2 linked regions of the Danio rerio genome follow. The protein of the gene in region 1 binds, or shares a complex with, the protein of each later gene. Links are inferred from orthologs where the notes say so. Each region holds a gene or a part of one and is shown on either strand. Other genes may lie near its edges. The genes, in order: pole3 and pole4.

Evidence for each region.
Region 2: pole3 (region 1) and pole4 share a complex: the UniProt entries of both Homo sapiens proteins name them as parts of the DNA polymerase epsilon complex. The link is inferred for Danio rerio from reciprocal best matches to the Homo sapiens genes POLE3 and POLE4.

The regions. Positions count from the first base shown.
Region 1 is NC_133180.1:33,508,326-33,512,859, reverse strand, and holds pole3 (DNA polymerase epsilon subunit 3), read left to right. Parts: upstream 1-1,651; 5' UTR 1,652-1,941; coding exon 1,942-2,007; intron 2,008-2,140; coding exon 2,141-2,226; intron 2,227-2,560; coding exon 2,561-2,679; intron 2,680-3,624; coding exon 3,625-3,800; 3' UTR 3,801-4,244; downstream 4,245-4,534. UniProt on the Homo sapiens protein: Accessory component of the DNA polymerase epsilon complex. Participates in DNA repair and in chromosomal DNA replication.
Region 2 is NC_133186.1:6,331,496-6,335,961, reverse strand, and holds the start of pole4 (DNA polymerase epsilon subunit 4), read left to right. Parts: upstream 1-1,621; 5' UTR 1,622-1,742; coding exon 1,743-1,985; intron 1,986-3,302; coding exon 3,303-3,387; intron 3,388-3,496; exon of another isoform or gene 3,497-4,466. UniProt on the Homo sapiens protein: Accessory component of the DNA polymerase epsilon complex. Participates in DNA repair and in chromosomal DNA replication.

The sequences.
Region 1 (4,534 bases):
ATAAATAAATAAACTACTAAAATAGGGCACAGCCTGTCATTCTGAGCATGTTGTGTGTCAACCCATGGACAAAAAATGCAACAAAGTAAAGGCACAACATCTTGATCAACTTGAGATGATGCAGAAGTGTTAAAATATTTTTTGTTGTTTTTTTTTATCCCGACAACTTTGTCCATTCAAAGTCGTCAATCCAGAGAGTAAACCCAATGGTCTCAGACTCAATTCCTGGAGGGCCGCAGCTCTGCGTACTTTAGCTTTAGCCACCTCCAACTCACACCTAGTAGTCTAAAGCAGTGGCTCTCAAAGTGGGGGTCGGGACCCCCCGAGGGGTCGCGGGGCAATGAAGGGGGGGTCGCCTGGTGATTTCCAAAAATCTATTTATTTTTATTAAACCATAAGAATTAACATATTTTATCCATAACTATACTGAAAATAAAAATAGTCGTTTATAGTTACTATATACTATATAGTTACTATAGTAGCTTATAGTTACTAGTTCTATTGGATTGCGACCCCTGGGGTAATAGCGTCAGATGCATTTTGATTTTATTGACCTTATTCTCCGCCGGCGAGTGGGCGCTGCCATTTGACTCTTTTTGGCACGAGACTTCCGCTCTCATTCACTTCCATTCATTTTTAGACATTAAAACTGCTCGTTTCGCTGTTTGATGTTGCAAACTGATATTTCCTTGTTATATTATTCTACTTGGTCTGTATAGTCATGCAAACATTTGTTTATAGAGCAAGTAGTTTGACCGTTTTTTGCCGTTTATTATTTCTTGTCATTTCTCTCATAGGCGACTGAAACGGAAGTTCTAAGACAATCGCGAAAACAGGCGCACTTCCGCATTTTAGAATAAGGTCAATAACATCAGGCTATACTTTCTGGCACATTTAAAGCACTGACACAAATTTAATTGGTGTGTCTGTGTCATTGCATGCAAGGTTTCTGTATTTATAACCACCTCAGAGGATATTGGGGGTCGCGAGTCACTGGCTTTGTTATTTTGGGGGTCGCGGGCTGAAAAGTTTGGGAACCCCTGGTCTAAAGTAGTCTTAAACACCTTGATTAGTTGGATCAGCTGTGATTAGGGTTGGAACAAAACTGTGCAGAGCTGTGGCCCTTCATGAATCGGGCCACACGCTCCTGGAGGGCCAGTGTTCTGGAAAGTTTAGCTCCAACCCTAATCAAACACACCTGAATCATCTAATTAAGCTCTTGCTAAATATACTAGAAATTTCCTGGCAGGTGTGTTTCATCAAGTTAGAGCTAAACTCAGCAGGACACCAGCCTTCCTCGACTGAGTTTGGACACCCCTGGACTAGAGCATAGGGATGTCTGGGTGACTACAAATAAAAACTACAACTACCAGCAGCATGTGAACCACGTGACCATTGTTTTACTATTTTAATTTTCAAACTGAGCTATTATGTATGCATGTTATGGAAACCACGCCTATACATTTAACCTACATTGTTTTTAAAAATAATAATAACAATAACAATAATTAAAAAAAAGAAACACATCTGATTTATTTTCGGGGCTAGCCTACAAACTGACGTCATGCCCAAACGAGCGGACTGATTGGCGGGACAGAGCGGTAAGAGGTAAAAGGTTAACGCGTGGTTTTGGATGATCAAGCGGGCAGCAAAACAGTGAAGTACACTAGCCTTTGCTCCGTTTTTTTCTACAACGAATCAATTTTCAAATAAATAATTTAGATACTCTTCTGTCGCTTTTATCAGGTAAAAAAATCGCCGTTTAACGGAATTCAGCCGTTCCAGCTGGTGTCGGTTCACCCCCGGACAATTTGCTAAGCTAACTTTTAAGTTTTCGCGGTTTTGCAGTTGCTCGGATTGATATCTAAACGTCACGCACATTATTTGACACAAATCTGTTAATATTTATAGCACTAACCGGTTAAATCAGTTGAGCGTGTAATGGCTGAAAGACCCGAGGACCTCAATCTCCCCAATGCTGTCATCACAAGGATTATAAAGGAGGCAGTAAGTGTCATCAAAGCTAGCGCTGTTAGCCATTTGAACGAACACACAAACAAACAATGCAAATACATCTTTAGCATGAAACGCCACTTAAGTTCTGTAGAGAGTTTAATCAACTTGTAATCCTCTTGTTTAGCTACCAGAAGGAGTAAATGTGTCCAAGGAGGCAAGACGGGCGATATCTCAAGCAGCAAGTGTTTTCGTACTCTACGCCACATCTTGGTAAGTCTTGAGAGATTTTGTTTCTGTCTGTATTAAGCACTCCTGAAGTGTGTTCCCTAAAAGTGACTACAGTTCCAATTAATGGAAATTGTAATCATAGGCTAACAATGCATTTGGGAAACCAACAGCAGTGTTAAAATAGTTGCTAACTCTGGTGGAGACAACATCAAAGCTGAGAGGGCCCTATTTAGGTGAAATTTAACAACTGATGTGCTCAGGTATTTGCGAGCTAATGGGTCCTATATTTTAAGGGTTTGTGCAAGTCTTAAGAAATGTTCTTTTTGAAAAACTTCACTCTAGCCAATTGCAATATGTTCTGTTTTGTTAACACCAGTGCAAACAGTTTTGCTATGAAAGCCAAGAGGAAGACACTTAACGCTGGAGATGTGATGTCCGCTATGGAGGAGATGGAGTTCGAGCGTTTCTTGCAGCCACTGCGGGAGGCACTTGAAGGTATTTTATGCTAAACAGAGCCTTTCAGATGTAGAGATGTCAACTTATTAATGCATTCATCATGTATGGGTTTATTAGTAATTTCACCCCAACGTGAAAATTCTGTTCTCTTTTTCTCGTATGTATTTTTGAGTTATGTATTTCTGGCCATCCATTAAAGTCTGTTAAAACTAGGCATGGGACAATAACCAGTTTCCAGGTTTACCATGGTTTGGAAAAGTCTAGATATTAAAACCGTAAAAATGTTTTGTACCGTTTCTAAGGTACTTGTAGAGGGTTTTTAAGTGTTGTAAGGAAATCTGTTTTTGAAGCAAATGAAGATAGAAGTCAATAATTTATCTAGCCTGACATGTTTACTGTTTCAAACTATTATAAATGTTTTTTTCAAATGTAATGTATTGTGTTAAATGGGGAAAAATTGTTTTGTCACCAAGACATTAAAAATATTTATATTTTACAGCAGTGTAAACAGTACCGTGAAACCATATTTTTTATCCAAGGTCATCATACTGTCAGAAACTTATACCGGATCATGCCTAGTTAGAACAGAAAACTATCATGCCTATTCAAGGGCAACTTTTCCATTACAGGAAATATGAAGAGGTTAAGGTCAAGATTGTGTTTTTATGGGGGAAAGATATCACATTGGTGTGAATATCACATTTAATGACTTAATTCACAAAAAATGTAATGTAGGCTATCACCAGAAGCCTTGGCTTATACTGAGTGAACTCATTTTTGATCATTTCATAAACATTTGTAAGTGTCCAGAGTTTGGTTAAATCAACTTACAAGGTATCAAAAACTTCTTGACATTTGAACACATCTTCATTTGTGTTCTGCAAAGATAATCTCTTCTAGGTTTTGAATGATTTAAATGGCAAAGGATGAACTTACCCTCAAATGCATATAACCATTTTGGTGCTAATTTTGTTTATTTAACAGCTTATAAGAAAGGTCAGAAAGGCAAGAAGGAGGCATCGGAGCAAAAACGCAAGGACAAGGAGAAGAAGAATGGCACAGATGAGAATGACAAGAGTAGGGATGAAGAGGAAGATGAGCACATGGATGATGAACAGGATGGGGAAAATGAAGCCGAGGAAGAGGATGTGGAGAACTGATAGAGACCTTACTTTTTTAGTCTGGGTTCCACTTTTATAGTGTGGACAGGGACAAGCCTATGGTACCGTTTTACCTTATGCAACTGAATATCTGAGGCTGTATTACAGTGAGCTGTTGTGCAAGGCAAACTGGACATTCAGTTAGATCAGAATTCATGGACAGATTATTGTAAGTAATTTAACATACTGTCACTTGGGTCAAGAAACCACACGTTGTTTAAAGATTTGAGGTAGGAAGTGAACAGTGAGCAGCTTAAAGTACCTGGGAAGCATTTTTGTAAGAATTTCTTTTAATGTAAAATCTTTATACCGTGGTGTTTCTATTGATTTTATGATTGGGCTCTACAACCCAAATGTTAGATACTTTTGTACTTATCTTTGTACCACTCAAAAATATTTGAGTACTTAACCCCCCACCCCCCCAATTAAAGTTTGTTGTGTTAACTGTGTGACTAATTTATATTCCACCCTGCACACACTCTTGAAATATAGAACTCATTAAATGTTGCAAATATCTGAAAGATTTTAGCACATCAGTTGGTTAACATCACCTTATAATGACCCTCTCAGCTTTAATTTTTCCAACTATTTTAACACTGATGTTTGTTTCTCAAAATCATTGTTAGCTTATTACAATTTACACTGATTGGCACTGTAGTCACTTTTGGGAATTGCACCTCAGGAGTGTTAAGTACAAATTCTAGTCAGGGTTTTACACAAGGAAGCCTTTAGGG
Region 2 (4,466 bases), on another chromosome or scaffold:
AAGGGTCCTGTAAACCACCAATATCATTGCGTATGTAATAAGCTTTTTTTTTTGTTTAAAACACATTATCCCTATGGAGAGACCCTGTAAACCACCAATACCAACATGTGCGTGTGTGTGGAATAGGCCTTTTTTTTTACAGTTTAAAACACATTATCCCTAAGGAGAGTCCTTGTAAACCACCAATGCCAACATGTGTGTGTGTGTGTGTGTGTGTGTGTGTGTGTAATAAGCATTTTTTACTGTTTAAATACATTACGCATATGGAGAGTCCCTCTAAACGACCAATATCAGCGTGTGTGTGTGTGTGTGTGTGTGTGTGTGTGTGTGTGTGTGTGTGTGTGTGTGTTTGTGTGTGTGTGTGTGTGTGTTTGTGTGTGTGTGTGTGTGTGTGTGTGTGTGTGTGTGTGTGTGTGTGTGTGTGTGTGTGTGTGTGTGTGTGTATAATAAGCATTTCTTTTACTGTTTAAAACACATTATCAATATGGAGAGTCCCTGTAAACCACAAATACCAACATTTGTGCATTTGTGTGTGTGTGTACCTTGTACTCATTATGTACACTGTAGGGATGTCCCCATAAATTTAGCAATACCAGTCAATATGGGGACATTTGCTTGGTACAATATAAAATTATTGTTTGATATAAAAGTTATTTAAAAAAAATCAATGTCTATAAGAGTCGAAGAAGGTTGCTGGTTCAAGTAGGGGCCTGTTGGCATTTCTCTATATGGAGTTTGAATATTCTCCCCGATGTGTTTGTGTGGGTTTCCTCTAGGTGCTCCGGTTTTCCCCCCTGTCCAAACACATGCAGTGCAGGTGAATTTGATGAACTAAGCTGGCCATAGTGTATGAGTGTGTGTGTGAACGTGAGAGTGTATGGGTGTTTCCCAGTACTGGGTTGCAGCTACAAGGACATCCGCTGTGTAAAATATATTTGTCCCAACACAAATCGTGTGGACGCCAGCACAGTGTGAGGAAAAGTAAATACAGAACTATGTTCAAGAAAAGAATAAACGTTTGAAAATAAATTTTCAGTTTAGCATTTCCTTATTCCTCCAACAGTAGTGTAATTTAATTATTTACCTGCCTGCACTATTATCTATGTATCTATGTATCTATCTATCTATCTATCTATCTATCTATCTATCTATCTATCTATCTATCTATCTATCTATATATATATATACACACACACACACACACACACACACACATACACACACACACACACATATATATATATATATATATATATATATATATATATATATATATATATATATATATATATATATATATATATATATATATATATATATATATGCAGGAATTTGTTGATTTTATATAAATGTATTTAATTATTTGCATATTTATTTATTTAATTTCTTATTTATGCAGGAATTTGTGGATTTATTTACTCATTTATTTATATATTTGCGTATTTATTTAAATATTGTTTTTGCAGTTTTTGTCCTCGTATTCTAATATTCATTCATTCATTCAAGTAGTCGTTTTTTAACTCTACCGTGATACCAAGCGATGACAAAGTGGTTAAAACAAATTCCAGGCTACTTTACCTTACTCAGTGAAATGAGTTGACCCGCTAGCATGACGTCGTGCAGTGACGTGGTTTCCGCCGTCCTCCTCTAGGTTGTGTTTACAGTCAGATTTGGCGGGAGAGGATTAGATTATCTGCTTTCGGTTCACAGCAGCGCGTTCGGTTGAGAGTTTTTGTGCGTCGATGGCGGCGACCGCGTCTGCAGCTCCCGCGGAATCGGAGTTGGACCGCAGCGGGGCTGAAGAAGAGCCCCGGGGCACCGAGCCGGAGGAAGACGCGGGGAGCGGGCAAACCGGGCCCACCGCGGGCGCACAGCAACACCGGCTCGCCAGGCTTCCGCTGTCCCGCATTAAAACCCTGATGAAAGCAGATCCGGATGTGACTCTGGCGAGTCAAGAGTCCGTGTTCATCATAGCTAAAGCTACGGTGAGACACACGTACACGTGCTGCCTGAGTTTACCCCTCTCCCCAAGTGTTTTATTCCAGTTTTGTATGTCTGTCATGATTACACTGTTTTTGTTTTATGCCTGGCAAGTGTTCCGTCGATAAGTCCTATCCTGTCAGATTTTTCCATTCAAAAAATAGGTAGCATAGTGTGTAATCAAAATATAAACCGATAGGTAACGTTAGCATATCCATCACGTTGTCCTACCAGCATAAATAAATACTGATGTGGAGGGGTGTAATACGAGCTTGTAATGTCGCCTTAACCTACCCCAAGTCCTAGCCTCGCCCTCATAGAACCATTGTTATCTGACTGGTAGGATAAAATGTCAGGACAGGCGATTTTCTGCCCTAGGCAATATTTTACCTGGTGCCCCTTGCCTCACAGCTCATTCCAGCAATAATCATTGTATACAAACGTTTCACACCGCAGATGCCCTGCCAGCCGCAACCCAGTACTGGGAAACATCTACAGTATATACACTTATTCACACACATATACACTATAGCCAATTTAGCTTATCAATTCTCCTATAGTTTTTTATTTAGTGGGCTGAATAAAAAACATTAAAAAAAACCTGTTTTTTTAGTAAGTGTACTTCTTTGGCTTTTATTTCTGCCATAATAAAAATATATATTTGTAGAGCAACTCATGTTCTGTTGTCATTAATATTTTAATAAACTTTAAATGGCAAAACTGTCCGAGATATGTACAAAAGTGATGCATCAAAGTTTGATTTAAAAAAAAGTCTTGAATGGTTATAAAAATGCTCACAATCATTCAAATAATTTATAAAAACAATAAAAATAATAAAAAATATTGAATGATATTATTGATATTACGTATTTCCGGAAACTTCATACTTCTCTGTTTATCCGTCTGATTTTACAGTCAGTTCCTCTTAGTTTTAAAGAATACTACAACGGCGAACACAGCAAGTGTAAAAGCCATGTCCGTTTTGCAAGGTACCCGCGCAGTCAGCGGCGCCAGGTGAAAGTAAAAATCCAGCTTAAGAGAGACGAACAGAGAGACATTAAAATATTGCATTATTAGTTTTCTATATGATGGATCTGTCATAACAGTACTTCTGTCTGCATATTCTGAATTTTCGAGGTCAAACCAAGGCAGATTTGTTGATTTTGTCAGTCTGGATGAGCCTGTTTGTGCATTAACACCATCAGGGCCAGCTCTTGAATTCACAACACCCAGGACAAGACTTTTGTGAACAGCCCACACTGGTTTAGACATTTACATCTCGGTCAACAACACAATGGTCATTATTGTTTTTCTGCCCGCAGGAGCTTTTTGTTGAAATGATTGCGAAGGACGCTCTCGTTTATGCACAACAGGGAAAGAGAAAAACCCTTCAACGCAAGGACTTGGGTAAGTTATAATGTCAAATCTACAGCTGGTTTACAACACATTCAGGTCTATTTTGACCCAAAAGACTTTAATCCAAGTTTTAAACTTTTTTTTTTTTTTTTTTTTTCAGATTTCTTTAGTTCCGTCTTAAAGGCATAGTTAAAATGAAAAATTAAAATGTACTCACTGTTTACTCTCCCTCAAGTTGTTCCAAACCTTTATGAGTATGTCTCCGTTAGAAAATCTCTCCGAGGAGAATTACTGCTGATCACAAATCTGCGGCTTTTCTATTAAAGGGACAATTCACCCAAAACTGAAAATTCTGTAGTTATTTCCTCTCTCTTTACTTTTCACAAACCAATTTGAGTTTCTTTTGTATGTTGAACGCAAGAGAACATATTTTGACAAATGTTTTGAAATCTCTACCCATCAACTTTTATAGCATTTGTTTTTCTTACTATGGAAGCCCGTAGGTACAGGTAGAGGTGTGAACCTATACTGGTCTCAAGGTTCGGTTACGATTATCATGCCATCGATTCGGTTCATTTCGATATCTCGGTGCATTGACGATGTTATATTTTGGGGGTAGCTATAACAAGCTGTCTGTGTAAACACACACATAGACACACAGCACCACACTGTCTCTCATTCACACACATACACAAACATAGACAGCACCAAACAAATATGCACGCACACACGTTTGCTTCCTTCCTTGCTTGCTCGCTCGCTCAGAAGCAATATTTCGAGACTGCCCACTCCTGTTAAAATTACACCAGAGTTATCGATCGCTCACGCGCTTTATTCGGAAATTTGTTACCGCGCCTATACCCAGAAGTATTGTTGTAACAGCCGAGAGGAAAAGAGAGGGGAGGAAAAGTCACGCCAGATGGTGAAATGGGCCACTGAGAGAGAGAGAGAAAGAGAAAGAGAAAGAAATGGAGTTCACTTTTGCCTTGTTTCCACTGACTGGTACAATACGGTTCGGGTCGGTACGGGTCACCTTTATCAGGCTTGCGTTTCCACTATAAAGGGTACCCTTTTGGTGGGCGTGGTGTAAGACAGAAAGTTTCAGTCGCATCATTCTCATTTGAGGAAAT